4 linked regions of the Anolis sagrei genome follow. The protein of the gene in region 2 interacts with the protein of the main gene of each other region in a biochemical or structural test. Links are inferred from orthologs where the notes say so. Each region holds a gene or a part of one and is shown on either strand. Other genes may lie near its edges. The genes, in order: UBE2A, RNF40, WAC and UBE2B.

Evidence for each region.
Region 1: the proteins of RNF40 (region 2) and UBE2A form a complex in vitro, tested with the Homo sapiens proteins (3 studies listed by BioGRID). The link is inferred for Anolis sagrei from reciprocal best matches to the Homo sapiens genes RNF40 and UBE2A.
Region 3: the proteins of RNF40 (region 2) and WAC form a complex in vitro, tested with the Homo sapiens proteins (2 studies listed by BioGRID). The link is inferred for Anolis sagrei from reciprocal best matches to the Homo sapiens genes RNF40 and WAC.
Region 4: the proteins of RNF40 (region 2) and UBE2B form a complex in vitro, tested with the Homo sapiens proteins (3 studies listed by BioGRID). The link is inferred for Anolis sagrei from reciprocal best matches to the Homo sapiens genes RNF40 and UBE2B.

What each region holds. Positions count from the first base shown.
Region 1 is NC_090030.1:3,051,257-3,058,982, reverse strand, and holds the start of UBE2A (ubiquitin-conjugating enzyme E2 A), read right to left. Parts: upstream 3,068-7,726; 5' UTR 2,877-3,067; coding exon 2,833-2,876; intron 1-2,832. UniProt on the Homo sapiens protein: E2 ubiquitin-conjugating enzyme that accepts ubiquitin from the ubiquitin-activating enzyme E1 and transfers it to a E3 ubiquitin-protein ligase. In vitro catalyzes 'Lys-11', as well as 'Lys-48'-linked polyubiquitination.
Region 2 is NC_090026.1:15,946,785-15,954,939, reverse strand, and holds the start of RNF40 (E3 ubiquitin-protein ligase BRE1B), read left to right. Parts: upstream 1-5,071; 5' UTR 5,072-5,220; intron 5,221-8,155. Other genes in the region: CFAP119 (cilia- and flagella-associated protein 119), read right to left, coding at 4,528-4,596.
Region 3 is NC_090026.1:110,877,574-110,884,986, reverse strand, and holds the start of WAC (WW domain-containing adapter protein with coiled-coil), read right to left. Parts: upstream 3,009-7,413; 5' UTR 2,696-3,008; coding exon 2,655-2,695; intron 2,522-2,654; coding exon 2,485-2,521; intron 1-2,484.
Region 4 is NC_090022.1:91,998,761-92,006,554, forward strand, and holds the start of UBE2B (ubiquitin-conjugating enzyme E2 B), read right to left. Parts: upstream 3,133-7,794; 5' UTR 2,779-3,132; coding exon 2,735-2,778; intron 1-2,734. UniProt on the Homo sapiens protein: E2 ubiquitin-conjugating enzyme that accepts ubiquitin from the ubiquitin-activating enzyme E1 and transfers it to a E3 ubiquitin-protein ligase. In vitro catalyzes 'Lys-11'-, as well as 'Lys-48'- and 'Lys-63'-linked polyubiquitination.

The sequences.
Region 1 (7,726 bases), on a different chromosome or scaffold from region 2:
ATATAAGAAGACTCTGAGTGGCAAGGCCTAGCAAGGAGATATATTATATAAGACTCAATAATAGTAGTAATGATAAGATAGTATTATAAAATAAGACTCTCATAATAATAACAACAGATTAATAATAATATAACAATAAGACGTTGAGAAATATAATAATAATGATATAATAATAATAATATAAGAAGACTCTGAGTGGCAAGGCCTAGCAAGGAGATATATAAGACTCAATAATAATAGAAATGATAAGATAGTATTATAAAATAAGACTCTCATAATAATAACTGATTATTAATAATATAACAATAAGAAAATGCTGAATAATATCATAATGATATAATAATAATAATAATAATAATAATAATATAAGAAGTCTCTGAGTGGCAAGGCCTAGCAAGGAGTTATATTATATAAGACTCAATAATAATAGTAATAAGTTAACATTATAAAATAAGACTCTAATAATAATAATAATAATATATTGATAATAATATAATATAATAATAAGAGGCTGAGTAATGTAATAATAATGATATAATAATAAGAAGATATTATAAAATAAAGACTCATAATAGATTAATAATAATATAATATAACAATAAGAAGAGGCTGAGTAATATAATAATAATGATATAATTATAATTATAATAATATAAGAAGACTCTGAGTGGCAAGGCCTTATATAAGACTCAAAAATAATAGCAATAAGATAATATTATAAAATAAGACTCTAATAATAATATATTGATAATAATATAATAATAAGAGACTGAGTAATATAATAATGATATAATAATAATAAGATAATATCATAAAATAAAGACTCATAATAATAATAGATTAATAATAAAATATAACAATAAGAAGACGCTGAGTAATATAATAATAATAATGATATAATAATATAAGAAGTCTCTTGAGTGGCAAGGCCTAGCAAGGAGATATATTATATAAGACTCAATAATAGTAGTAATGATAAGATAGTATTATAAAATAAGACTCTCATAATAATAACAACAGATTAATAATAATATAACAATAAGACGTTGAGAAATATAATAATAATGATATAATAATAATAATATAAGAAGACTCTGAGTGGCAAGGCCTAGCAAGGAGATATATAAGACTCAATAATAATAGAAATGATAAGATAGTATTATAAAATAAGACTCTCATAATAATAACTGATTATTAATAATATAACAATAAGAAAATGCTGAATAATATCATAATGATATAATAATAATAATAATAATAATAATAATAATATAAGAAGTCTCTGAGTGGCAAGGCCTAGCAAGGAGTTATATTATATAAGACTCAATAATAATAGTAATAAGTTAACATTATAAAATAAGACTCTAATAATAATAATAATAATATATTGATAATAATATAATATAATAATAAGAGGCTGAGTAATGTAATAATAATGATATAATAATAAGAAGATATTATAAAATAAAGACTCATAATAGATTAATAATAATATAATATAACAATAAGAAGAGGCTGAGTAATATAATAATAATGATATAATAACAATTATAATTATAACAATATAAGAAGACTCTGAGTGGCAAGGCCTTATATAAGACTCAATAATAATAGCAATAAGATATTATAAAATAAGACTCTAATAATAATATATTGATAATAATATAATATAATAATAAGAGGCTGAGTAATATAATAATGATATAATAATAAGATAATATCATAAAATAAAGACTCATAATAATAATAGATTAATAATAAAATATAACAATAAGAAGACGCTGAGTAATATAATAATAATAATGATATAATAATATAAGAAGTCTCTTGAGTGGCAAGGCCTAGCAAGGAGATATATTATATAAGACTCAATAATAATAGTAATGATAAGATAATATTATAAAATAAAGACTCATAATAATGATAGATTAATAATAATACAATATAACAATAAGAAGACACTGAGTAATATAATAATGATGATATAATAATGTAAGAAGTCTCTTATATTATAAGAGACTTCTAAATAATACTCTAATAATATAATAATAATAATAATAATAATAATATAAGAAGTCTCTGAGTGGCAAAGCCTAGCAAGGAGACATATTATATAAGACTCAATAATAATAGTAATAAGATAATATTATAAAATAAGACTCTAATAATAATAATAGATTGATAATATGTAACATAATAAGAGGCTGAGTAATATAATGATATAATAATAAGATGATATTATAAAATAAGACTCTAATAATAATAATAGATTAATAATAATATAATATAATATAATAAGAGGCTGAGTAATATAATAATTATGATATAGTAATAAGATAATATTATAAAATAAGACCCTAATAATAATAATAGATTGATAATAATATAACAATAAAAAGACGCTGAGTAATATAATAATAATGATATAATAATATAAGGCAAGGCCTAGCAAGGAGATATATTATATAAGTCTCAATAATAACAGTAATTATAAGATAATATTATAAAATAAAGATGATAATAATAATATAATATAACAATAAGAGGCTGAGTAATCTAATAATAATGAGATAATGATAATCATCTAAGAAGTCTCTGAGTGGCAAGGCCTAGCAAGGAAAGGCTACGCCAAGTGCGTAAGCCGCTGTGGTGCGGGGCTCCCCATTGGTTGCCGGGCGCGCGTTACGCCAAGAGCGCGGTGGCTACGCAGTTGGCGCAGCGCTCCCCCGCCCGGCCGCCATGTTGTCTCTCCTGAGGGCTCCTTCTTCTCCGTCTCGGCCCGACTCGCTCCCTTTCCCGGGCCCAATCCCCTCGCCGCCCGGCCGCGCTGACCGTTTGAAGTCCCGCATGAGGCGCCTCCGGGCGGGCGTGGACATGGCGGGCTCTCGGCCAGGCGTCGCTCGCACTCCGCTCGCTCGGCTCCTCGCCTCGACACTGGCGCTCCCGACGCGGCCGGCGCCCCTAATCCCGCAGTGGTCGCGCCCGCCGCGCCTGCTCCCTCCACGCCGGACCGCACCACTGCTCTCGCCAAACAGGGGGGCACGGAATGGGACAATAAACAGGCAAGGGGCGGGGCCAGGGGCCGGCGAATCACATCTCGGAAAGGACACAAAGGGGCGTGGCTTCCGCAGGCTTGGGAAGGCAGCGCTCGCAGCCGTGACGTCATCCGCTCTGGGCGATACCAAGGCGCGGGCGAATAAAGGGGGGGAAATGGGAAGGAACCATAATAGTCATGGCATAGAATGGCGCAGGGGAAGCTTCTCTTCTATAATAATAATAACAATAATAACTATTATAATAAATATAATAAATATAATATATAATATAATAGTACAGGGATGGCTTCTCTTCTAAAATAATATAATACACAGGGAAGAGGCGGGGCTAGCGGCCAGCGAATCACATCGCGGGAAGGACACAAAGGGGCGTGGCTTCCGCAGGCTTGGAAAGAGAGCTCTCAAAGCGCTGACGTCATCCTCTCTGAGCGATACCAACAAGCGGTGAATAAAGGGGGGGAAATAGGTGGAAGGAACCATAATAGCCATGGCATAGAATACTGCAGGGGGAGCTAATAATAATAAATAGAATAATAATAATAATAATAATAATAATAATAATAATAATAATGATAATTAATATGATAGTGCAGGGAAGCCTCTATTCTAAAATAATAATAATAATAATAATAATAAATATAAATATAAAAATATAATATAATTGTGCAGGGGAAACATAATAATAATACATATAATAATAGCAAATATATTAGTGCAGAGGAAGCTTCTCTTCTAAAATAAATATTATATATATATATATATATATATATTTGCTCGGGGGGGGGAACTCTTTTTCTATGATAATCAAAATATTGTGATAATAATATAGTGCAGGGGTAGCTTCTCTTCTAAAATAATAATGATAATGAATATGATAGTGCAGGGAAGCTTCTCTTCTGAAATAATAATAATAATAAGAAGAAGAAGAATATGATTGTGCAGGGAAGCTTCTCTTTTAAAATAATAATAATTATAATAAATATATAATAATAAATATATAAATTTATGGAACACTTTGAAGAACAAGCCCTGGAGATAGCAACCAAAAAGCCCACGATATGGTTCAGAGATGTGGATGACACCTTCACCATTTGGAGCCATGGAGAAGAAGAACTCAACAGGTTCCTGGAACATCTCAACAGCATCCACCCAAACATCCAGTTCACCATGGAAAAAGAAAATGAAGGAAGACTGCCTTTTCTAGATGTCCTCATCATCCGCAAACCAGATCCACAATTGGGTCACACCGTCTACAGAAAACCCACACACACAGATAGATATCTACATAAAAACTCCAACCATCACCCAAGTCAAAAAAGAAGCACCATTCAAGCTCTGGCAGACCGTGCAAAGAGAATCTGTGAACCCCACCTCCTCCAAGAGGAACTGAACCCCCTCAACTGGGCTCTCCAGGCCAATGGAGACTCCACCTCAGACATCAGAAGAGCTGCAAGACCACCGAGAAGAAGCCACGAGAGTCAAGACGAAGACCCACCCAGAGGAAAAGTGTTCTTGCCAGACATCAAGGGAACCACTGACCACATAGGGAAGCTGATGAGGAAACACAACATACAAACAATCTACAGACCCACCAAGAAAATCCAACCAATGCTCCGTTCAGCAAAGGACAAGAGGGATCCTCTCACCTCTGCAGGAGTCTACCGTATCCCATGCAGCTGTGGAGAAGTCTACATAGGGACCACCAAATGCAGCGTTGTCCAAACACGAATCAAGGAACATGAAAGGCACTGCAGACTACTCCAACCAGAGAAGTCAGCCATAGCAGAGCACCTGATGAACCAACCTGGACACAGCAGATTATTATTTGAGAACACAGAAATGCTGGACCACTCTCACAACCACCAGGTCAGACTACACAGAGAAGCCATTGAAATCCACAAGAAGCATGTGGACAATTTCAACAGAAAGGAAGAGACCATGAAAATGAACAAAATCTGGCTACCAGTATTAAAAAAACTCTAAAATCACAACAGCAAAACAACAGAGAGGAAACAACCAGGCACATCTTAACACCTCCCAGCAAGAGATTTTCCCAGGCTCAGGCAGGCCTTCAAATGCTAATGAAGGTGGTCAGTTGAAACATTCACACCTAGCTCCAGCAGGGAAGAGCTCCTTGCCCCACCCCAGCCATTGTCCTAATTCCAACAGACCTCACTACCTCTGAGGATGCTTGCCATAGATGCAGGCGAAACGTCAGGAGAAATGCCTCTAGAACATAGCCCTATAACCCGAAAAAACCTACAAGAACCTAAATATATAAATATAATATAATTGTGCAGGGGAAACTTCTCTTCTGAAACAATAATAATACATATAATAATAATAAATATAATAGTGCAGAGGAAGCGTCTCTTCTAAAATAAATATAAATAATAAATAATAATAAATATAGTTGCTCAGCGGGATCTTTTTTTCTATGATGATGATGATGATGATAATAATAATAATAATAATAATAATATTTATTTATAGTGTCAGGAGTGAACCAAATAATAATAATAATAATAATAATAATAATAATAATAAATATAATCAAAATATAATAATAATAATAATAATAATAATAATAATAATAATAAAGGTCAGGGGTAGCTTCTCTTCTAAAATAATAATCTATATAAATAAAAATGTAATGTTCGTTCGTGCTACCATCAGAACTCAAAAACCACTGAGGGAATTGACACCAAATTTGGACACAAGACACCTAACAACCCAGTGTATGTCCTGCACTCAAAAAAATTGATTTTGAGATTTCGGAATTGGTGGTGCTGGGATTTATAGTTTACCTACAATCAAAGAGCATTCTGAACTCCACCAATGATGGAATTGAACCAAACATGGCATACAGGACTTCCATGACCAACAGAACACATTGGAAGGGTTTGGTGGGCATTGACCTTGAGTTTGGGAGTTGTAGTTCACCTACATCCAGAGAGCACTGTGGACTCAAACAATGATGGATCTGGACCAAACCTGACACAAATATTCCATATGCCCAGATATGAACACAGATGGAGTTTGGAGGAAATAGACCTTGACGTTTGGGATTTGTAGTTACTGGGATTTATAGTTCACAACAATTAAAGACCATTCTGAAACCCACAAACGACAGAAATGGGGCAAACTTCCCACACAGAACCCCCATGACCAACGCAAAATACTTAAGGCCATCCAGTCCAACTCCCTTCACCAGGGCAAGAAAACGTAATCAGAGCCCTCCTGACAAAGAGCCATCCAACCATAGATAGATAGATATGATTCTCACACACACACACACAGATATAGTATCATAGATTTGAAAGGGACCCCTAAAGAAGGACTATGATATGTTGCATGTTCCAGAGTAGGCAAACCAGACAATCTCCACATCAACACTGACAAAGAAACAACAAGAAATACTGTTTACCCACAAGCAGAAAGACATTACATATATTAGAAACCAACACTTTCTCATTACTTTATTTTCCAGATCAACAGACTGGGCCACAGCAATGCATGGCAGGGGACAGCTAGTATAATAATAATTAGAGATCCCTTGCCACGCGTTGCTGTGTCCCAGTCTGGTGATATGGAAAATCAAGTAATTAGAAAGTGCTGGTTTCTAATCTATGAAATGTCTTTATGCTTGTGGGTAAATAGTATTTCTTGATGTTTGACAGTGTTGACGTAGAGATTGTCTGGTTTGCTTACTCTGGAACATGCAACATAGAATTGTCCTTCTTTAGGAGTCCCTTTCAAATCTATAATACTTTATCTGTGTGTGTGTGAATCATATATATCCATCTCTATCTATGGCTCAGTAGCTCTCTGTCAGGAGGGCTTTGCTGATGTTTTCTTGCCCTGGTGAAGGGAGTTGGACTGGGTGGCCTTGAGTATTTTCTGTTGGTTATGGTGGTTCTGTGTGGGAAGTTTGCCCCAGTTCTGTCATTCGTGGGGTTTATTCAGAATGGTCTCTGATTGTAGGTGAACTATAAATCCCAGTAACTACAACTCCCAAATGCCAAGGTCTATTTCCCCCAAACTCCACCAGTGTTCATATTTGGACATATGGAATATTTGTGCCAAGTTGGTCCAGATCCATCATTGTTGGAGTCCACAGTGCTCTCTGGATGTAAGTGAACTACAACTCCCAAACTCAAGGTCAATGCCCACTAAACCCTACTAGTGTTGGTCATGGGAGTTCTGTCTGCCAAGTTTGGTTCAATTCCATTGTTCAGAATGCTGTTTGATTGAAGGTGAACTATAAATCCCAGCAACTACAACTCCCAAAGGAAAAATCATAATTTTTTGAGTGATGGTCACTCCTTCCATTGTGAGACGTTTCGTTGCCAAATTTAGTGTGATTTCGTTCATTGGTTCTTTTGTTTTTAAGGTACTCATTATGCACAGAGCATTTATATATATATTATATATAGAAGAGATAGATAGATAGATGGATGGATGGATGGATGGATAGATAGATAGATAGATAGATAGATAGATAGATAGATAGATAGATAGATAGATAGATGTTGTTGTTGTTCATTCGTTCAGTCGTCTCCGACTCTTCATGACCTCATGGACCAGCCCACGCCAGAGCTCCCTGTTGGCTGTCACCATCCCCAGCTCCTTCAAGGTGAGTCCAGTCCCTTCAAGGATACCATTCTTCC
Region 2 (8,155 bases):
AGGTGGGATCGTGAGCAGGGCCTCTCCGGATGAACGGAGGGAACGCGTGGGTTCATAAATGGAGATGTGGTCACGCAGGTAGGCAGGTCCCAAACCGTTTAGGGCTTTGTAGGTAAGCACCTGCACCTTGAATTGGGTTCTGTAGGTAAACGGCAGCCAATGGAGCTCCTTAAACAGGAGGGTTGACCTCTCTCTGTAAGGAGCGCCAGTTAACATCCTGGCCGCCGCTCGCTGGACCAGCTGGAATTTCCGAGCTGTTTTCAAGGACAGCCCCACGTAGAGAGCATTACAGTAATCCAATCTAGAGGTGACCAAAGCATGGACCACCCCGGCCAGATCAACCTTTGCAAGGTACGGTCGCAGCTGGCGCACAAGTCTTAGTTATGCAAAAGCCCTCCCGGACACCGCCGAGACCTGGGGTTCCAGGCTCAGCGATGAATCCAGGATCACTCCCAAGCTGCGAACCTGCATCTTCAGGGGGAGTGTAACCCCGTATAACACAGGCTCTAACCCTATGCCCTGTTCGGCCTTACGACTGACCAGTAGGACCTCTGTCTTGTCTGGATTCAATTTCAATTTGTTAGCTCTCATCCACTCTGACACAGCAGCTAAACACCGATTCAAGGTCTGGACAGCCTCCTTGGTAACAGATGAGAAGGAGTGACAGATTTGGACATCATCTGCGTAGAGATAACATCTCATTCCGAAACTCCGAATGATCTCCCCCAGCGGCTTCATGTAGATGTTAAATAACATCGGGGACAAGATTGAACCCTGTGGGACTCCATACAACAACGGTTGTGGGGCCGAACAGGTGTCACCCAGTAACACCTACTGGGACAGTCCCTCAAGGAAGGATCGGAGCTACTGCAAAGCAGTGCCCCTGAACCCCATATCCATGAGGCGTCCCAGAAGGATACCGTGATCAACGGTATCGAAGGCCGCTGAGAGGTCCAGCAAAACCAACAGGGACACACTCCCCCTGTCCATTTCCCAGCAAAGATAATCTACCAAGGCGACCAAGGCTGTCTCAGTTCCATGTCCCGGCCTAAAGCCAGACTGTGCCGGATCTAGATAATCCGTGTCTAACCAGAAACCCCTGGAGTTGTGTCGCTACCACACATTCCATGACTTTGCCCAAATAGGGGAGATTGGAAACTGGCCAATAGTTGTCGAATTGAGTGGGATCCAGTGATGGTTTCTTCAACAGCAGTTTTGTAATAGCTTGTTTTAAGTTCGCTGGAAACTTTCCTTCCTGTTAGGAGGCGTTAACCACCACTTTTACCCACTGTGCCAAACCCCCTCTGGCTTCCTTTATCAGCCAGGATGGGCAGGGGTCTAGGATGCATGTGGTAGGTCGCACCTCTCCGAGGATCCTGTCCACATCCTCAAGCTGAACCAATTGAAAAGAATCCAACAAAACTGGACAAGCAGATGCTCGCGTTACATCCCCAGGTAAAGGTAGTCCCCTGACATTAAGTCCAGTCATGTCTGACTCTGGGGTGTGGTGCTCATCTCCATTTCTAAGCCGAAGAGCCAGCGTTGTCCATAGACACCTCCAAGGTCATGTGGCCAGTATGACTGCATGGAACGCTGTTACCTTCCCACCAGAGCGGTACCTATTAATCTACTCACATTTGCATGTTTTCGAACTGCTAGGTTGGCAGAAGCTAGGGCTGACAGCGGAAGCTCACGCCACTCCCCGGAATCGAACCTGCGACCTTTCGATCAACAAGCTCAGTTCGATCAACAACTCACTGCGCCACCGGGGGCTCCCCAGAGAGTGCCGTTAATACGTCGTCAAAACCCGACCGAATCCGCACAATTTTATCCGCGAAGAATCGAGCAATTGCTTCACAGCGAGCCACCGAGTTATCAGGGGCCTCGCTTTTCAGCGGATTTAACAGTCCCCTGACAACTCGGAAAAGCTCGGCTGGACGATTCTTCGCAGACTCAATATTTATTTATTTATTTATTTATTTCATTTACTTATACCCCGCCCTTCTCACCCCGGGGGGGACTCAGGGCGGCTTACATAGGAGGCACAATTAGATGCCTAAATCTATAGACAAACAATATAAAATACAAAACAATTCAACAGTTAAATTAAAACATCAGTGCACAATAAATATTAAAAACAATCTCATGCTCGGGTTCAGAGTCCATATGTCCATTCCGTTCCATTTGTCCTTGTCTATCGTTAGATCCTTCATTTAGTTGCCAGTGTGTCCAAAGGCTTGATCCCAAACCCAGGTCTTCAGTTTTTTCCGGAATGCCAGAAGGGAGGTCGCCGATCTAATCTCCCCGGGGAGTGAGTTCCACAGGTGGGGGGCCACCACCGAGAAGGCCCTGCTCCTCGTCCCCGCCAACCTCACCTGTGAGAGTGGCGGGGTCGAGAGCAGGGCCTCCCCAGAAGATCTTAAGCTTTGAGGTGGGATGTAGAGGGAGATCCGTTCGGACAAATACACTGGGCCGGAACCGTATAGGGTTTTGTAGGTCAAAACCAGCACTTTGAATTGTGCTCGGAATTGGATCGGCAGCCAGTGGAGTTGGCGCAACAGGGGGGTGGAATGCTCCCTGTACGCTGCTCCGGTGAGCAATCTGGCTGCTTCCCGCTGGACTAGTTGAAGTTTCCGAGCAGTCTTCAAAGGCAACCCCACGTAGAATGCGTTGCAGTAATCCAACCGGGATGTGACAAGAGCGTGGACCACCGTGGCCAGATCACTTCCCAAGGTACGGGCGCAGCTGGCGCACAAGTTTTAATTGTGCGAAAGCTCTCCCGGCCACCGCTGAGACCTGGGGTTCCAGGCTCAGCGATGAGTCCAGGATCACTCCCAAACTGCGAACCTGCATCTTCAGGGGGAGTGTAACCCCATCTAACACAGGCTGTAACCCTATACCCTGTTCGGCCTTGCGACTGACCAGTAGGACCTCTGTCTTGTCTGGATTCAATTTCAATTTGTTAGCTCTCATCCAGTCCAATACAGCAGCTAAACACCAGTTCAAGGTCTGGACAGCCTCCTTGGTGACAGGTGGGAAGGAGTGACAGATTTGGACATCATCTGCATAGAGATAACATCTTAGCCCGAAACTCCGAATGATCTCTCCCAGCGGCTTCATGTAGATGTTAAATAACATCGGGGACAGAATTGAACCCTGTGGGACTCCACACAACAACGGTTGCGGAGCCGAATATTGGCTGCCAGAAATGTGCGTAGAGATAACACCTCAGTCCCTTCTTTCAACCATTCATTTATTTCTCTTTTTTCCATTTATGATGGCACACCAGGAAGATCTAATGAGAAAACTAAATGTGTCTGGCTATTTTCCCAGTGACCATCTGTATGCCCTAAATTACTTTAATTCCCCCAAAAATAACACTCTACATACAAGACTAAATTAACCAAATTGAGTTTACTAAACAAACAAGATGAATTACAACAATGTACAAAGGTACAGATTGATTATGATGGTATAACTCTGAGGTAACAAAGTATAATTTCTATGAGGTAAGTATTCTATAAACTATAAACTCTAAGGCATGTATTAGCTAAGAATTCTATGAAGCATATATTATCTAGGTTCTTGTGGGTTTTTTCGGGCTATAGAGCCATGTTCTAGAGGCATTTCTCCTGACGTTTCGCCTGCATCTATGGCAAGCATCCTCAGAGGTAGTGAGGTCTGTTGGAATTAGGACAATGGGTTTATATATCTGTGGAATGGCTGGGGTGGGGCAAAGAACTCTTGTCTGCTGGAGCTAGGTGTGAATTTTATTTATTTATTTATTTATTTATTTATTTATTTGCTATATTTGTATACCGCCGTTTCTCAGCCTAGCCGGCGACTCAACGCGGTTTATTATTATTATTATTATTACAACATAATGTTTCAGCTGATCACCTTCATTAGCATTTGAAGGCCTCAGGCAGATTTTCCCAGGCTCAGGCAGGCCTTCAAATACTAATGAAGGTGATCAGCTGAAACATTCACACCTAGCTCCACCAGAGAAGAGCTCTTTGCCCCACCCCAGCCATTCCACAGATATATAAACCCATTGTCCTAATTCCAACAGACCTCACTACCTCTGAGGATGCTTGCCATAGATGCAGGCGAAACGTCAGGAGAAATGCCTCTAGAACATGGCTCTATAGCCCGAAAAAACCCACAAGAACCTAGTGATTCCAGCCATGAAAGCCTTCGACAATACATATATTATCTATTCTTTATAACATCTATTATAAACTCTAAGGCAAATATGTGATAAGGATGGCCTGTACGGACTGCAAGCCAGACCAGACACTTTTCTGGCAACTATCTATAAATTATGACCAAAAGGAAAGAAGCCAAAAAGTCTTTCACCAGGCTCTGAGGCAGAATGGGCTGAGCCAAAGAGCTCGGCCTATAGGGGGAGCCTAAACTCCTACTCTAAACTTGGCAAAATGGAACAGTCCAACAGGCAACAAGGAAATAATACTAGGCCGAGACATCACACCATTCATTTTAGTATTGCTCCCCCTCCTCTGGTACCTTATTAAGGGATTCTGGCCCCATTAAAGGCCTTTGAGGTGGAGGACTGAAGGAGTCCTCCGTTGCCATGGCATTCTGGGCTCCGTCCAATTAGAAGAAAGAATGTTGAGCCAGGTCAGGAGCGAGCCAATCAGTGCCGTCCTCTTTCAAAGTGGAAGGAGCCTTTCCTATGAAGGATACTGGAAAGGTAGTGCTCTCTATAAGCGGCAAAGAAAGATAACTCCCTCTTCTAAACCATTGTTATGCCTCCAGAGCCAGGATAGGATCATTGTTACCACTCCAGAGCCAAGTTGGCATCCTTCTGAGGAAATGTTTACATTTGACTTCCTTTTTCCCTGTCTCTATGGGAGGAGTTTTACCTTGGAGCCACGCCTCTTCTTCTAGGAGCATCCGTCCAATCACAGGTAATCTCTTTCCCAGTTGAACCAATCGTGTGTCAGCTTTCATTCCACCCTCCCACTTACGTATGCACACAACCCGCCCTTCCAGGTGTCCTTTCGACCAATAGGAAAGCACGTCGCATTCCGAGTCGAAGAGTCTGCTCGCGCATGCGCCACCCAGAACAGGAAGGGGAGATTCGCTTGAGTCTGGCCGAAAGATGCCTCCTCGGGCGCATGCGCAGTGGCTGCGGCGGGGCTTCTAGTCCGAAGCGTCGTATGGAGGGGAAGGCAGAGAGGCGGCGGCGATGGCGGGGTGAGCCTGCAGGTCTCCTTCCTCCCCTTCCCTATCGGGCCTTCTCTATCTCTTCTTCTCTAAACACCCATTTTTGTGGCACTGTCTCTTTAAAAAGTACCTGAGAGCCATGCTAATAGGATCATTCTTCTTATTCTCACTCAAAATACATCTTATTTATATTACTATCAATAATAATACTTAAAACACATTGAAATCATTTGTGCCAACAAAATGTCAGTTTAAATTCACAGGTTCAAATAGACTGAGGGGCCCACCCATAAAATATATTACTATAACAACAATAACAACAATTATCATTGTTATAATTATTATTGTTGTGTTGTCAAAGGCTTCCATGGCTGGAATCACTGGTTTATTGTGAATTTTCCGGGCTGTATGGGCATCTTCCAGAAGCACTCTCTCCTGAAGTTTTGCCCACATCTATGATCTAATAGAGGGAGAAAACGTGGAGGCCGTGACAGACTTTGTATTTCTAGGTGCAAAGATTACTGTAGATGCAGACTGTGGCCAGGAAAGACGCTTACTTCTTGGGAGGAGAGCAATGTCCAGTCTCGATAAAATCGTAAAGAGTAGAGACATCAGACTGGCAACAAAGATCCGCCTAGTCAAAGCCATGGTATTCCCTGTAGTAACCTACGGATGTGAGAGCTGGACCTTAGGGAAGGCTGAGCGAAGGAAGAGAGATGCTTTTGAGCTGTGGTGTTGGAGGAAAGTGCTGAGAGTGCCTTGGACTGCGAGAAGATGCAGCCAGTCCATCCTCCAGGAAATTGGAGGGAAGGATACTAGAGACAAAGTTGAAGTACTTTGGCCACATCATGAGGAGACAGCAAAGCCTAGAGAAGACAATGATGCTGGGGAAAGTGGAAGGGAAAAGGAAGAGGGGCCGACCAAGGACAAGATGGATGGATGGCATCCTTGAAGTGACTGAACTGACCTTGAAGGAGCTGGGGGTGGTGACGGCCGACAGGGAGCTCTGGCGTGGACTGGTCCATGAGGTCACGAAGAGTCGGAGACGACTGAACGAATGAACAACAACATGGCAGGTTGTGAGGTCATTGGAAATTAGGCAGGTGGGGTTTATATATCTGTGGAATAAGGTCCAGGGTAGAAGAAAGAAAGAACTCTTGTGCTTGCAATTGGCCACCTTGATTAGTACTGAATGGTTTTGCAGGTTCAAAGTCTCTGGCTGCTTCCTGCCTGGGGGAAGTGTTGCTAGAAAGTGTTAGCTGGCCTTGGTTGTTTCATGTCTGGAATTCTCCTGACAGTAAAAAGAGCAACTTTCAAAAAATGGGGGAATTCCAGACAGGAATAAATTAGGACCAACTAACACCTCCTAACAATTCCTCTAAGCCAGTGGTTCTCAACCTGGGGTCCCTAGATGTTTTTGGCCTACAACTCCCAGAAATCCTAGCAGCTGGTAAACTAGCTAGGATTTCTGGGAGTTGTAGGCCAAAAACATCTGGGGACCCCAGGTTGAGAACCACTGCTCTAAGCAGGAAGCAGCCAGTCTTTGAAGCTGCAAGGCCCTTCGGTGCTAATCCGAGTGGCCAATTACAACTGCCTCCAACAGACAAGAGTTCTTTCTCCCACCCTGGACGTTCCCCAGATATATAAACCTCACTTGCCTAGTTTCCAAAAGACTCCTCAGCCTCTGAGGATGCTTGCCATAGATGTGGGTGAAAAGTCAGAAGACAATGTATTCTTGAAGGCTTTCATGGCTGGAATCACTGGGTTGTTGTAGGGTTTTTTTGGGCTATATGGCCATGTTCTAGAGGCATTCTCTCCTGACGTTTTGCCTGCATCTATGGCAAGCATCCTCAGAGGTTGTGAGGTCTCACAACCTCTGAGGATGCCTGCCATAGATGCCGGCAAAACGTCAGGAGAAAACGCCTCTAGAACAGTGGTTCTCAACCAGGGGTCCCCATGTTTTTGGCCTACAACTCCCAGAAATCCCAGTCAGTTTCCCAGCTGTTAGCATTTCTGGGAGTTGAAGGCCAAAAACATCTGGGGACCCCAGGTTGAGAACCACTGCTCTAGAACATGGCCATACAGCCCCAAAAAACCTACAACTCAGAAGACAATGTTTCCTGAACATGGTTATGCAGCCTGGAAAACTCACAGCAACCCATAATAATAATAATAATAATAATAATAATAATAATAATAATAATAATAATAATTTGCTTTATTTCTGTACTTAAGGCAACATGCAACACAGTTAAAATACACAGATGAAAAAAACAACCATTTAAACATATAGATTAAAAACATTTAAATCACTTGTATCAACAAAAGATACCCTGACGACTTCCGGTGGTGGCAAGATGGCGGGAGAAGCAAGTTCCTGACGCTCGTCAGCTCTTGCAACTTGTTGAATGCCTCAGGGGGGCTAGTCCCCCCCTGCCTCGTGGAAATAATGGGGCAGTAGGACCCTTAGACCAAGAAGCTCCAAAGGAGACCCCCAAACTTGGCAAAGGGGTGAGGTCCAACACAGGTTCCCGGGTAGAATCCGGGCTAGGACGCCAGCCACCATCTTCAAAACAACACAACTGAAAGAACGAAGAACGAAAAGGTGAGCAAGACAGAGAGACAGAAGGGAAACAGAGGGGGAAACAAGAAGGCCAGGTGCCAAATTTGGGGCCGTGGTTGACAACAACTAAGATAACTTTAAACCGTAAAGAACATAACATAAACACTACTGAACTTTTAACTCAAGAACTCCGGAGACAAGAAACTTGAGATTTTCCTGAACTCACCCCCTTCCCATTGTTACCTCACCCGCTCCTTGTTTCTTGCTCCTTCTCTTCGCTCCTTGTGTTTCCATACGCTCCCCAACCCTCCGTTTTGGAGGTAGAGATGGCGCGCGCGGGGGCGAAGCGAGAGTGAAGCCGTTGCACGCGCGAGGGTGAAGCCGCTGCTCCAGAGGCTGCAC
Region 3 (7,413 bases), about 95 Mb from region 2:
CAGATTGCAAGTACACTACAGAATTAATGCAGTTTAACTGCCATGGCTAAATGCTATGGAACCCTGGGTTCTGGAATTTGGCGAGGCACAAGAACTCTTTATTGTGCTGGTGACAGAACAAACTACAACTCCCAGAAGTCTGCAGCATTGAACCAGGGCAGTTAAAGTGGCGTCAAACCACATTCATTCTATAGTACAGGTACACTGCTTGATGAGGGATGCTCAAGCTGTATTTTTTAAATGGGTACCACAATGTATTCCTAATTTAAAACCGCCTCACTGACAGGACTCCATCTACACTGCCTTATAAGGTGATTTGAGACAGCATCATATGGCCAGTGTAGACCATAAAACGGGGATGCTTTGAATGAGATTTTCCTGCTACTTGGGAGGGTTGGACTGGATGGCCCACAAGGTCTCTTCCAACTCTATAGTTCTATGATTGTAGACCAGGCATGGACAAACTTCAGCCCTCTAGGTGATTTGGACTTCAACTCCCACACTTCCTAACAGCCTACCGGCTGTCAGGAATAATGGAAGTTACTGGCTGTCAGAAATTATGGAAGTTGAAGCCCAAAACACCTGGAGGGCTGAAGTTTACCCATGCCTGATATAGACTTATATAAATTATCACATTACACTGTTGAAGCACTGTTGTTCCACTTTAAATCCTATGACAGCCCCCTGTGGAATTCTGGCCTTTGTACGTAATGAGGCCCAGGACACATCCAGTTTGGAATTTTGAAGACCCCTCCCTAAAGTGCACATCCCAGGAATCCAGAGGCGGCAGGCATGGGATTTAAAGTGGAATAACAGCACTCTTAACAGTGTAGTGCAGGCATGTGCAAACTTTGGCCTGGCAGGTGTTTTGGACTTCAACTCCCATAATTTCTAAGAGGGCCAAAGTTTGCACATGCCTGTTGTAGTGAGCTCAGCTGCACTGAATGAATGTACCCTGACCATATGATACAGTCTGAAACTGCATGAGAAGCTGCAGTGTAGTTGGGGGCCAGGAAAGGGCGGTGGCAAGGGACAACAACAGTTCTCTTGGATAGAACTTACCCTTTATTAAATTTGAGGAGAGGGTTAGAAATAAATAAGGGGGGGGGCAGTTTTAATTTCTAGCCCAGGCATAGGCAATCTTTGGCCCTCCAGGTGTTTTGGACTTCTACTCCCATCATTCCTAACAGCCACAGGCCCTCCTTTCCCCCCTCAGCCACTTAAGTGGCCGAGGGAGGAAAGGAAGGGGCCCGAAGTTATAAGGAGCTATGAGAGTGTAAATCCAAAAGACATGGAGGGCCCAAGTGTGCCCATGTCTGATGTAGGCACACCGTTGAATATATACCGTTGGACACTACTTGAACTGCCATGGCTGTTAGGAGTGGTGGGATCTGCAGTCCAAAACACCTGGAGGGCCAAAGTTTGCCCATTTCATTGAATTTATGCTGTTGGACACCACTTGAACTGTCATGGCTGTTAGGAATGGTGGGATCCGCAGTCCAAAAGACCCGGAAGGCCGAAGTTTGCCCATGTCATTGAATTTATGCAGTCGGACACCACTTTAACTGCCATGGCTGCTAGGAATGGTGGGATCTGCAGTCCAAAACACCAGGAGGGCTGAAATTTGCCCGTGTCACTGAATTTATGCAGTCGGCCACCACTTGAACTGCCATGGCTGTTAGGAGTGGTGGGATCTGCAGTCCAAAACACCAGGAGGGCCGAAGTTTGCCTGTGTCATTGAATTTATGCAGTCGGACACCACTTGAACTGCCATGGCTGTTAGGAATGGTGGGAGCTGCAGTACAAAACACCAGGAGGGCCAAAGTTTGCCTGTGTCATTGAATTTATGCAGTTGGACACCAATGGCTGTTAGAAATGGTGGGAGCTGCAGTTCAAAACACCTGGAGGGCCAAAGTTTGCCCATGTCACTGAATTTATGCAGTCGGCCACCACTTTAACTGCCATGGCTGTTAGGAAGGGTGCGATCTGCAGCCCAAAACACCAAGAGGGCTGAAGTTTGCCCATGATATTGAATTTATGCACCACTTGGAACTGCCATGGCTGTTAGGAATGCCTGTTCTAAGCTATTGCCTCACACTGCTGTGTTAATTTAAAGGGGGGGGGGGAACGCCCCCTCCTCCCCAAAAAGAAAAAAAGACCTATCTACGGGTCATTCCAGACGGACCCTCTATCTCAGGATCTGATCCCAGGTGGTCTGCTTGAAACTGGGTTATAGGAGCCCACAGTGCAAGATAGTCCGGGATAAACAGAAACGACCTGGGCTCAGATCCGGGGCGCTAGGCCTCTCTCGCTCCCCCCCTTCCCGTTGGAGGCCGCCCCTTCCTCCCTCCCTCCCCTTGTTCGCGCGGCCCAGGAAGCAGGCCGAGGCCCTTTGCGGCCTAGAGCGGCGGGCCAAGCCTGCGCTGGAGTAGCTGCGGCCGGCCCTCCTCCCACACTCCGCTGCGGCGGCGGCGAAGGAGGTACCTGGTAGGGCTGCGAGTCCCCCTTGCGGTCGTGACAGCTGAAGGGAGAGAAAAAAGAGAAACAGTGGCGTTAGCGAGAGAGTGGCCGTTACTGGCGGTTGGGAGAGAGGGAGGGGAGGAAGGGGGAGGGAAGGGGGGGGCGAGGAAGATGGAGGACGGGGGCTTATTTACCCATCATTGAGTCTTTGCTGTTTCCTCGCATACATTACCATCAATGCCCGGCCTGTGAGAGAGAGACTGAGGGGACCAGGAGGAGGAGGAGGAGGAGGGCGCGGCTGGGCCACGGACGGGGAAGGAAGGAAGGAGGAAGGGGAGGGAGGAGGAGGAGGAGGAGGAGAGAGGCCCAGCGGCGCTCACGGGCCCATCGCCTCGCCGCCCAACGGAACGCAACGCGGAAACGCAACGCAGAAGGAAGGAAGGCGAAGGCGGCGACGACGACGACGACGTCTCCCCCCTCCCGCCGCCGCCACCACCGTCTCCTCCCCCCTCCTCCTTCCTTCCTCCTCCTCCTCCTCCCTCTCCCTCAGTCACTGCTCCCAACACTACCGCCGTCCAACTACATCCGGGAAACTCAAGCGACGACGCCTTCGCCAAACGTCGGCTCCGCTCGGCTCTTTCCGCCCAAGCTCCTCCCTCTCCTCCGCCTGCCTTCCTCTTTTCGCGGCTTCGCACTTCGGGTATCCTCGGCCGCTTCCGGACACCAGCCGATCCCTCCCCCTTCGGGTTTGAAGAAGACACGCCTTCTACTCATCTTCGGTATTTTCCGGACCAAGCCCTGCTTTTCGGGCGACGTCGGCTCTCTCCGCTCCTGCCTTCTTCGCCGGGGAAAGGCATCGGGTGTTTCCGGAAAGAGCCGAGAGACGGGCGAAGACTACTACTACTACTACTACTACCAATAATAATAATAATAAACTTTATTTATACCCCGTTACCATCTCCCCATGGGACTCGGTGCAGCTTACATGAGGCCGAGCCCACAATACAACAATACAAGCAAAACAAGCAATAACAAATACAATACAAAGCAATTAAATGGTGATTATGATAATAAAAACAATCGGCGCTGACAAAATTACCCTCTGTCTTGTTTACTGTGTACTAATCTTGTTGTGTATCTAATAATAATAATATTAATAATAATAATAATAATAGCATATAATAATAATAATAATAATAATAAGTGGTCCCAGTGGTGATCAGCACACTGGGTGCAGTGCCTAAAGACCTTGGCCTGCACTTAATAATAATAATAATTATTATTATTTATTTATTTATTTATTTATTTATTTGTATCCCGCTTTTCTCCTGTGGGTAGGATTCAAATCGGTGTGTTGTTGTTGTTCATTCGTTCAGTCGTCTCCGACTCTTTGTGACCTCATGGACCAGCCCACGCCAGAGCTCCCTGTCGGCCGTCACCACCCCCAGCTCCTTCAAGGTCAGTCCAGTCACTTCAAGGATGCCATCCATCCATCTTGCCCTTGGTCGGCCCCTCTTCCTTTTGCCTTCCACTTTCTCCAGCATCATTGTCTTCTCTAGGTTTTGCTGTCTCCTCATGATGTGGCCAAAGTACTTCAACTTTGTCTCTAGTGTCCTTCCCTCCAGTGAGCAGTCGGGCTTTATTTCCTGGAGGATGGACTGGTTGGATCTTCTCGCAGTCCAAGGCACTCTCAGCACTTTCCTCCAGCACCACAGCTCAGAAGCATCTATCTTCCTTCGCTCAGCCTTCCCTAAGGTCCAGCTCTCATATCCGTAGGTTACTACAGGGAATACCATGGCTTTGACTAGGCGGATCTTTGTTGTCAGTCTGATGTCTCTACTCTTCACTATTTTATCGAGACTGGACATTGCTCTCCTCCCAAGAAGTAAGCGTCTTCTGATTTCCTGGCCACAGTCTGCATCTGCAGTAATCTTTGCGCCTAGAAATACAAAGTCTGTCACGGCCTCCACATTTTCTCCCTCTATTTCCCACTTGTCAATCATTCTTGTTGCCATAATCTTGGTTTTTTTTTTTTTTTGATGTTTTGATGTCAAATCGGTGTACAAGGGTTAAAAATGACAAAACTGCATATCATAAAAATACCAAAAAAAATCATATAAGCAAAACAAACACATTAGGTTAGCCAAATTAAACAAATTAATAAATTAAAACATTAAACCATTAAAAAAATCCCTGACCCTCAGACAATTAAGGTTATCAATTAAAAGAGTTATTCTATACATAAATAAATAAATAGTATCAATGTTAGGAACTGTGGGGGTTGAATTCCAAAACACCCAGAGGGTCCAAGATTGCCCATGTCTAATAGATATGATCACAAAATAATAATAATAATAATAATAATAATAATAATAATCTTTATATCATGCTCCCTCTCCAAAAGGACTCGGGACGGCTTACAACAAAATTAAATCATAACATATACATGAGCAAAAGCAAAAAGACAGGACATCACATATAACCAGCAATCACAAGCAGGTTAAATTAACATAACAGTATCACAATAAATACACAGCTTAAAAATTTGCACTTGGTTTAAAAACATAATCGCATCTTGGAGGCAAAACCAGTTAAAACCAATAGGTATTTGACAGAACTAAAAGACCACCATAATATTAAGTAGTCATCATCCGTTTTCGAAAGCTTGCTTCCACATCCAGGTTTTTAGTTCTTTTCTAAACGGAGCTAGAGGGGGAGCCTGTCTGATTTCTTTAGGGAGAGCATTCCAAATATATGATAGTAATAAATGGTTATAATACAGTAATTATTTCTTTATCGTGTCCAAAGCAAATTGAGGATACAGTTATAATGCATAAAAAACCACAGTTATAGAAGGCTTTCATGGCCGGAATCTCTGGGTTGCTGTGAGTTTTCCGGGCTGTATGGCCATGTTCCAGAAGCATTCTCTCCTGACATTTTGCCCACATCTATGGCAGGCATCCTCAGACCTCACAACCTCTGAGGATGCCTGCCATAGATGTGAGTGAAATGTCAGGACATAATGCTTCTGGAACATGGCCATACAGCCCAGAAAACTATTACATTTGGCCTTGCCATAGGTTTTTAAATGCTTGCGTGTTACTGTTTATTGTTTATTTTTTATTTATGCGATTTATATTAATTGTATTGTATTGATTTTTTGTTATTGCTTTTGTTTATTGATGTACTGTGGGCTTGGCCTCATGTATGCCGCACCAAGTCCCTTGGGGAGATGGTAGTGGGGTATAAATAAAGTTTTATTATTATTATCATTATTATTATTATTATTATTATTATTATTCTGGAACATGGCCATACAGCCTGGAAAACTCACAGCAACCCAGAGATTCCGGCCATGAAAGCCTTTGATAACTCCGTGGTTTTAATACATTATAAAAAATACATTGAATTTGCTTTGACCACATCAGTTGCTTCTGATGTAACTGTAAAAAAAGTCCTCCATTTTGCTTGTGGCAGAGCTCATACTGCACTGTGTCAGTTATCTGAGGTTTGCTCTTTTCCACACTCGCATGTTGTGGTCTCCACTTTGTAGTCCTTTCATTGCAATACAATAATAACAGTCAGTAGTAATATATTATGATGATGACGACGACGATATATAATTATAATTATATAATTGTATTAAAATAACAAATGGTTATTGAGCCACCTCTGGCTGAGAAAGGCGGTATACAAATGCAGTAAATAAATAATATAATATAATAAATATCATAGCAATAATATGATAATATATGATATTTTACAAAAATGAAAAAACCCTTTCCTGCATGGTTAGTACCTTGTGCTTGGGCCACAATTCTAGGCATCCATGCAAATACACATTATTATTATTATTATTATTATTATTATTTATGGAGCCTCTGATGGTGCAGTGGGTTAAAACCTTGTGCCGGCAGGACTGAAACCGACAGGTTGCAGGTTCGAATCGGAGGAGAGCGTGGATGAGCTCCCTCTATCAGCTCCAGCTCCACATGCAGGGATATGAGAGAAGCCTCCCACAAGGATGATAAACCATAAAAACATCTGGGTGTCCCCTGGGCAACGTCCTTGCAGACAGCCAATTCTTGCAGTTTCTCAAGTCGCTCCTGACACTACAAAAAATTAAATAAATAATTAGGTTCTTGTAGGTTTTTTCGGGCTATATGGCCATGTTCTAGTGGCATTTCTCCTGACGTTTCGCCTGCATCTATGGCAAGCATCCTCAGAGGTGAGGTCACCTCTGAGGATGCTTGCCATAGATGCAGGCGAAACGTCAGGAGAAATGCCTCTAGAACATGGCCATATAGCCCGAAAAAACCTACAAAACCTAGTGATTCCAGCCATGAAAGCCTTCGACAAATAACTAATTATTTATTTTATTTTTGCAATTATTATTATTCATATTTGCAGAAATGCAACCACCAAACAAGGAAAGTGGTGTCAAAAGTGCATTGTTGAGGTTCCATTGCACTATCTGCCAATGGAGGCTAAATACCTTGCAAAACTACAGCTCCCGAATTCCATAGCACTGAATCATTAAAGTTGAAGTGGTGCATGTCAAACTGCAATTAATTCTACAGTGCAGATCAGGCATGGGCAAACTTGGGTCCTCCAGGTGTTCTGGACAACAACTCCCACGATTATGGGAGTTGCAGTCCAAAATACCTGGAGAGCCGAAGTTTGCCTATGCCTGGCATAACTGCTCCCCTGGTCCCAGGCGTTGCATTGCATTGGGCTTCAGAAGGGTTTAAGGAGGGAGAGAGGGCAATGGCCGCTGAGGCTTCAGAGCTCTTACTGCGCAGGCGCGGGCGGCGTCCTATCCTGCACTTTCTACCTCTGAGCCTTGCGCAGGCGCAGAAACCCGTCCCTGGATTCCGGCTTCTAAGCCAAGGATGGCAACAGCAACGCTATTCTGGGAGGAAGGAGGTCGGTGGGCCCGGGTCGAACAGCTGC
Region 4 (7,794 bases), on a different chromosome or scaffold from region 2:
ATGCTGTGAAAAGCCTTTGGCTGTAAAGAGTTTGCTGCCCAAATTGGGCTTTCACACACAATGAAAGTTCACTTGAGATCACAGAAACTATAGGGACCTTATCCTACCATACCAGCCTAGATGAAATAACTTGACCAAAATGTTCTTTCTCCTGTTAATTCAAGATGTTTGGAACAAATAATAGTACTTAAAAGAGTCATAGGGCATGTTTCAATTATCCCAGAGCTTTGACTTGAGAACTTTCTCCCTCTTTTTTTGGTCACTCTGCCAAATCCAGCTATCTAGAAAATAGTTTAGAACAGTGGTTCTGAACCTGTGGGTCCCCAGGTGTTTTATCTACAACTCCCAGAAATCCCAGCCAGTTTACCATCTGTTAGGATTTTTGGGAGTTCAAGGCCAAAGGTTATAACTGTAACTCCTGAGCTTTCTAGATATACTCAAATAGCTATTAAAAGCAGTTAGGTAATATTAATTCAGCATGGATAATAAATGTGATAGAATAACCAATACCCGAAATAAGCCCCAGGGCCCTTCCATACAGCCCTATATCCCAGAATATCAAGGCAGAAATTCCTACATTATCTGCTTTGAACTGAATTATCTAAGTCCACACTCAGAAAATGTGGGATATTCTACCTTGATATTCTGGGATATAGGGCTGTGTGGAAGGACCCTCAGTGTTCTCAAGAAAAAACCATGTTTGGGATTAGAATAATGCTGCATACTGTCACTGTGCTCTGTTAACAACACAACTCATACTGTTGTGTTGGCATAACCCCATTTAATGTACTGGGAGTGAGGCAAGCATCCGCTGCCCTATGCTGACTCAGCAGCCACTGCATGATCCCAATCTGAAATATTTGCCCATTCATAAAGGCAGTCTTGCCAATTCCAGCCTAAAACAAAGACTGGCATCCTGCAGCCGAACTTGCTGACTAGTCAGTTTAAATTACAAGGAGACAGTTACACCATTAATGTGGCGATCTAAATCTTTTTACGTGTCCAGGTTATAAATTGTGATTTTGGAGGAACTGTAACATGTTTCGCTGCGGAATCCATCTGCAGTGCCAGGAAAGTCCTTTTGGAGAGCTTGCTTTTCCTGGCAGCTTACTTGAGAAACAGAAAATGGCCATTATTTTTGCTAACTTCAGCATATCCTCTCCAGATGTCAGTGAGAACTAAGAAGCAGAGAAGGACAGGACTTCCAACTATAGGAAGCAGCCTAAAAGAAACATAGGACACAACTCTCCACATACAACAGGGAAAATCAACAGGCTTCCTTGTGAAGAGCACATTTTTCTACATGCCATGAAATGGCAGTTTCAGCATAACCAGTTTTCCCCCAACACTACAAGCTGGCTATACAGCAAAACTCCCTATTCTTTTCTCTGCCATCTTCCAAACCACTTTCTGAAGAGTTTCAATTTCCAAAATGTAACTATTATACTAATTCTGTATAAGCTTAAAGGGATATAATGCAGCAAGACTGAAATACACTGAAACTCTACTCTGGAGCACATATGTGGGGATTAAAAGATTCAGGATGAGAAGAAGAGGAGGCGGCAGCAGCAGTGACTGGACTGGAAGAAGTTTTATTTACAGCTCCGGGGTTGGCTCAGTGGGTAACCTGAGTCTCTTACAATAGCTCCTTTTATTTTTGAAGCACTGCATTGGCAAAATGCTCAGAGATCTGTTGACTGAGAGCATCGCAAGCGAAACTCTGGTAAACTGTACAGTCTGTATTCTGAGCAGATTAAAACCCCTTCCTTTATTATAGATGCAATTATTTCCATGAAGGGGACTGTACCTTTAATGTAACAACTTCAGCATGGGATGGCGAAGAGGGCAAGTGTTGCTTCCAGTCTCCCAAGACGGCAAAGGGTATTTATTAAAGGTTTGGCCTCGACTGAGGCAGGATGCCCCAACATGGTATAAACAAACCAGCTCCTTCCACCAGATCAGTATTTCTGCCAAGGCCAACCCACTCCATTTCCACTCAGTTTTGATCTAAAGCAGGTGTGGGCAAACTTGGGCCTTCCTCCAGGGGTTTTAGACTTCAACTCCCACAATTCCTAACAGTTGGTAGACTGTTAGGAATTGTGGGAGTTGAAGTCCAAAACAAATGGAGGAAGGCCCAAGTTTGCCCACACCTGTTCTAAAGGCATTCCTTGCCCAAGGCCCAGAGGGAGAAGCCAATGGTTTGAGCCATTGCCCCAAAAGTACAGACAATTCCTTCTCTTTCTTTATTTTTTTGGGGGGTGGGGGTGGGGGCATCCTTTACACCTTCTGTCTCTAGCTCAGGCATGGGCAAACTTGGGCCTTCCTCCAGGTGTTTTGGACTTCAACTCCCACAATTCCTAACAGCCTAGCGGCTGTTAGGAATTGTAGGAGTTGAAGTCCAAAACACCTGGAGGAAGGCCCAAGTTGGCCCATGCCTGCTCTAGCTGAACCCTTCTCCTTCTTCCAAATGTATCCTGATGCCTACTTCCATAACAGGAGAGGAAAAGGAAGGAAAGAGGGGAACTTCTCAATCTTTTTGCCCTCTCACCAGCTTGGGGGCAAAATCCAGACGGCCCCCTTCTTCCTAGACACGAAAGGAAAGAGGGGGGAGCAGGGGAGCCAGGACCCCCAGGGAGGCGCGGGCCCTTTAAGGAAAGGAGGGCCAGCCCCAGAACAGGCCCAAAGCAGAGGGGACGAAGGAAGGTGGGCAGGGGGAGAGCAGGGCCGCACTTGCCTCTTGAAGTCCCGCATGAGCCTCCGCCTGGCCGGAGTGGACATGGTCTCCCCTTTTCCCGGTGGTAAAATAATCCCCGCTCGGCCTCAAACAGCCTCGGCACCAAGGGCGGCTCACTCCTCGTCCGCTGCCGCCGCCTCCTCCTGCTCCGCTGCTTCACAAACAACTCCGCAATGGCGTCTCCCTCCGCCAGCGGGAGGGAGGGAGGGAGGGAGGAAGGCAGCCTCCCTTCGGGACCGTACCACTGCGCCTACTTGGAGGGGGGAGGGCAGGGAGCCTTAGGAACGTACCACTGCGGAAGCGGAGGGCAGGGCGGCGGAAGGCGCTTTCCCTCTCCTCCCAGGAACTTCGCTTCGACATTCCCATGCGTTCAGGGAAGGAGAGGCAGCGACATCATGTCTTTTCCCATAGAGTTGGAAGAGACCACAAGGGCCATCCGGTCCAACCCCCTCATTCCATTCCAATGTAACAACAACAACAACTCCTCCGCCCTGCTGGTGGAAAGAGTTGCTTTGGTTGGCCTTTGAAATCTTTATTACCCTTTAAGGCAGAGTTTCACACAATCCTTAAACAATTAAAAAAATGTCTTGTCTTACCATCATCTGAATGGGATGGGCAAAATCTAGATGGATTTCATGGCAGGTGTGTTGAATGATTTGCAGTACATCAGCAAATTATTATTATTATTATTATTATTATTATTATTATTATTATAAACACAAAAACAATGGCTTCAAACTACAAGAGAGGAGATTCCATCTGAACACGAGGAAGAACTTCCTGACCGTGAGAGCCGTTCAGCAGTAGAACTCTCTGCCCCGGAGTGTGGCGGCGGCTCCTTCTTTGGAAGCTTTTAAACAGAGGCTGGATGGCCATCTGTCATAGAATCAAAGCGTTGGAAGAGACCTCAGGGCCATCCAGTCCAACCCCCTACCAAGAAACAGGAATATTGCATTCAAATCACCCCTGACAGATGGCCATCCAGCCTCTGTTTAAAAGCTTCCAAAGAAGGAGCCTCCACCACACTCCGGGGCAGAGGGTTCCACTGCTGAACGGCTCTCACAGTCAGGAAGTTCTTCCTCATGTTCAGATGGAATTTCCTCTCTTGTAGTTTGAAGCCATTGTTTCGCATCCTAGTCTCCAGGGAAGCGGAAAACAAGCTTTCTCCCTCCTCCCTGTGGCTTCCTCTCACATATATATACATGGCTATCATATCTCCTCTCAGCCTTCTCAGTCAGGGGTGATTTGAATGCAATATTCCTGCTTCTTGGCAGGGGGTTGGACTGGACGGCCCATGAGGTCTCTTCCAACTCTTTGAGTCTATGATTCTATAGTACACACCAAACAAGGTCACTCTGCTGGCTACTGTATTGGATCACACGTCAGACACTTCCCAAGTGTCTAGGACTGTGTGATGTGTCTGCAAATAATGCATGCAGATCCAAGTAGGGTGGTCTTCTGCAGCTGACTGATGGTGATTTTGTCAGTGCCTATTGCTTTTAAGTCGAGGCCATGGTCTTTAAGCACTGCACTCAGTATGCTGATCGATTATTATTATTATTATTATTATTATTATTATTAGAAACACAACAAGATGAGTCCACAGCAAGCAAGATCACTCTGCTGGCTGTTGTAATCGATCACATGGACACTTCCCAAAGTGTCTAGGACTGTGTGATGTATCGGCAAATAATGCATGCAGATCCTAGTACGGTGGCCTTTTGCAGCTGAAAGATTGTGATTTTGTCAGTGCCTATTGTGTTTAAGTGGAGACCAAGGTCTTTAGGCACTGTACCCAGTGAGCCAATCACCACTGGGACCATCTTTACTGGTTTGTGCCAGAGTCTTTGCAGTTTGATCTTTAAATCCTCGTATTGTATCAGCTTTTTTAGTTGTTTCTCTTCAATCCTGCTGTCACCTGGGATTGCAAGCTCTAGAATCCATACTTTGTTTTTTAACACGATCGTGAGGTCAGGCATATTGTGCTCCAAAACTCTGTCAGTCTGAGTTCGGAAGTCCCAAAGTAGCTTGACGTGTTCATTTTCTGTGCTGGTCATAGTGTAAACTACCAGTAGGTTCAACCAAGCCAGAGTGGGCTCAACTGAGAAGTAGAACTAAGTGCATCCAACCCATTTAAATATGGTAAAACAAACTCTAAAGAAATTTAGACTGGCTTGGTCGCTGCCCAGGATAATAAGGGCCGCGGCGAGTGCTTCTCCTGGGCACCCGTTGACAAGTGGGCTACAGAAACCAGGACCTGCTGAGCAACCAGGGCATGGGCCTGTAGTTGGAAGCAAAACAACCACAGAAGTACTATTATTGTTATTATTATTATTATTATTATTATTATTATTATTATTTTGGTACTCTGATTCAGACAGCAAAATGTCTTTGGCCAGGCCTCAGAAAGTTCAGCATGAATCTGCATCCTGTTGCAAGTAACTTGATGTTATAAGCAAGGTCTTCGAATCAATTTAAAGGTGCAATCGTTTTATTCTTATCTGCCTTTTGTTCAAAACTAGATCTAATGATAATTTACATACAAAAAGAAGTACAAGTACATCAGTCAATTATATTTCAATAGATTTTTTTAGTGCCAGAACAATTAACTGTATACATCATCATAATAAAATACAATTCCAAAACTGATGGTGTTTATGTAATAGACCACATGTTTAAATTGGGAACACTTTACTTTAAATATATATTTGCAAACAAGCCAAGACTAATATTAAAGATCAGAAAATTGCATTGGATAGACCATATCAGCTCTAATTTCTGATATAGAACATATGCCATGGTCAAAGACAGGGAAGGAATGTGAAAGGAGCAGAAATAAAATAAATAATAAATAAATGAAGAGGAAGAAGGCATGCAAACCAGATTTTTGACCTTGCGGCCCACTGGTGGTCCACAGCCCACAAGTTAAGAACCACTGGTCTATATCAAGGAAAGAAATGGTGCCTCTCTATTCTGCTCTGGTCAGATTCAGCTGGGATACTGTGCCCAATTCTGGGCACCACAATTCAAGAGGGATATTGACAATCTGGAACATGTCCAGAAGAGGGTGACTAAAATTATCAAAAATGTGGAGACCATGCCCTATAAGGAGCAACTTAAAGAGCTGGGCATGTTTAGCCTGCAGAGGAGAAAGTTGAAAAAAGACATGATCGCCATGTATAAATATGTGAAAGGATGTCATAAGGAAGAGAGAACAGGCTTATTTTCTTCTGCCCTGGAGACTAGGACTCGGAGCAATGAGTTCAAATTACAGGAAAGGAGATTCCACCTGAACATTAGGAAGAACTTCCTGACCAACAGTTGAACTCCCAGTCTTGGAGTGTGGTGGAAGCTTTTAAATAGAGGCTGGATGGCTATCTGTTGGGGTGCTCTGATTGTGCTTTTTCTGTATTATGGAGGTTGTATTAGATGGCCCATGTAATCTCTTCCAATTCGATGATTCTACTATAATGTTTTCCAAATTTTTGTGTGTCAGAAGTGACTGAAAATCGCTTCTGGTGTGAGAGAATTGGCCATCTGTGGGAGGCTTCTCATATGTCCCCGCATGGGAAACTGGAGCTGACAGATGAGAGCTCACTCCATCTCACAGATTTGAACCGTTAACCTTCAGGTCAGCAATTCAGCTAGCGCAAGGGTTTAACCTATTGTGCCACCATAGCTCCTTATCTTTTCCAGTGAGTCATATTGTCTCATGATGCATCCAAAATAAAACAACCACAGCTTGGTAATTTTAGTTGTCAGTGAAAGTTTAGGTTTGATTTGTTCTAGGGCTTTTTTAAACGATTTCCCTAGACCTTTTCTCCAGGACTGTATTTAAAATGAATTCACCATATTATCTTCCTTTGCTATCTAACTTTCTGAATCATACATAGAAACTGAAAATACTATGGTTTGAGTGATATATACTGATGGGATCATGAGCTGTCAGCAACTGACTCAGAAAAGGATCTTCCCTTATGGTACAAAGTTCAACAAAATCAGACTGTGGCTGCTATAAAAAAGCTAAAGTCCACATTGGCCATAATTAAAAGGGAAACTGGAAATAAAATTGTCAGTATAATACTGTACATTTGGCTCTCCATATCCATGGATTCAACTATCCATGGCTAGAAAATATTAAAAATTAATTCCAAAAGACAAAATCTTGGTTTTACCATTTATATAAGGAATGCTTTTCTACTATAACATTGTGTATAATGGAACTTGCACATCCATGGATTTTGGTATCAATGTGTGTGTGTCCTGGAACCAACTCTGAGGGCTATTGTAGGAGAAGGAGAGGAGGCAGAGGAGGAGGTTGTGGTGGAGGAAGAATTTTTGTTACCCGCCTCTCCTCTCAAGGTGGGATCCAACACAGTGAAAACACCTCAACATAGAATACATACACCAAAACACATGGTACAAAATACAGTGGTAATAGAACGTGAATCCAAAACTCATGGTTCAAAGCTGACTGGGTAGACCTGCAGGAAGAGATAGGTCTTTAATTGTCTCTTAAATTCCGAAAGCTCATTTAGCTGTCTGATCTCTTCCACTGGTCATTCCACAGTCTTAGGATAACTGATGAAAAGATCTTCTGGGCGACGATCACCAGTCGGATTCTGGCTGGTTGGAGCAGATGCCCCTCAAAAGTGTTCGGGGCGGATTGTATGGGAGAAGACAATCCTATAGGTAACCTAGACCCAAACCATGTAGGGCTTTAAAGGTCAAAACCAATACCTTGTGTTTTGCCAAGTAACTAATTGGCAGCCAGTGGAGTGACTTTAGGATAGGTGTGAGATCTTCACTCCTGGATGTTTCCGTAACCAATTTGGATGCCAAATTTTAAACTAGCTGGAGTTTCCGAATTTGGTACAAAGGTAGCCCAGTGTACAGTGCATTGCAGAAATCCAACCTTGAGGTTACCAGCATGTGCACTACTACCATCTTTAGGTCCTCTGATTCTAGGAAAGGATGCCACAGGCATATCAGCTGAAGCCGGTAGTAAGCACACTTCTGGATATCACCATGTAAAATCCATGGTGGAAAAAGCTTTAAAA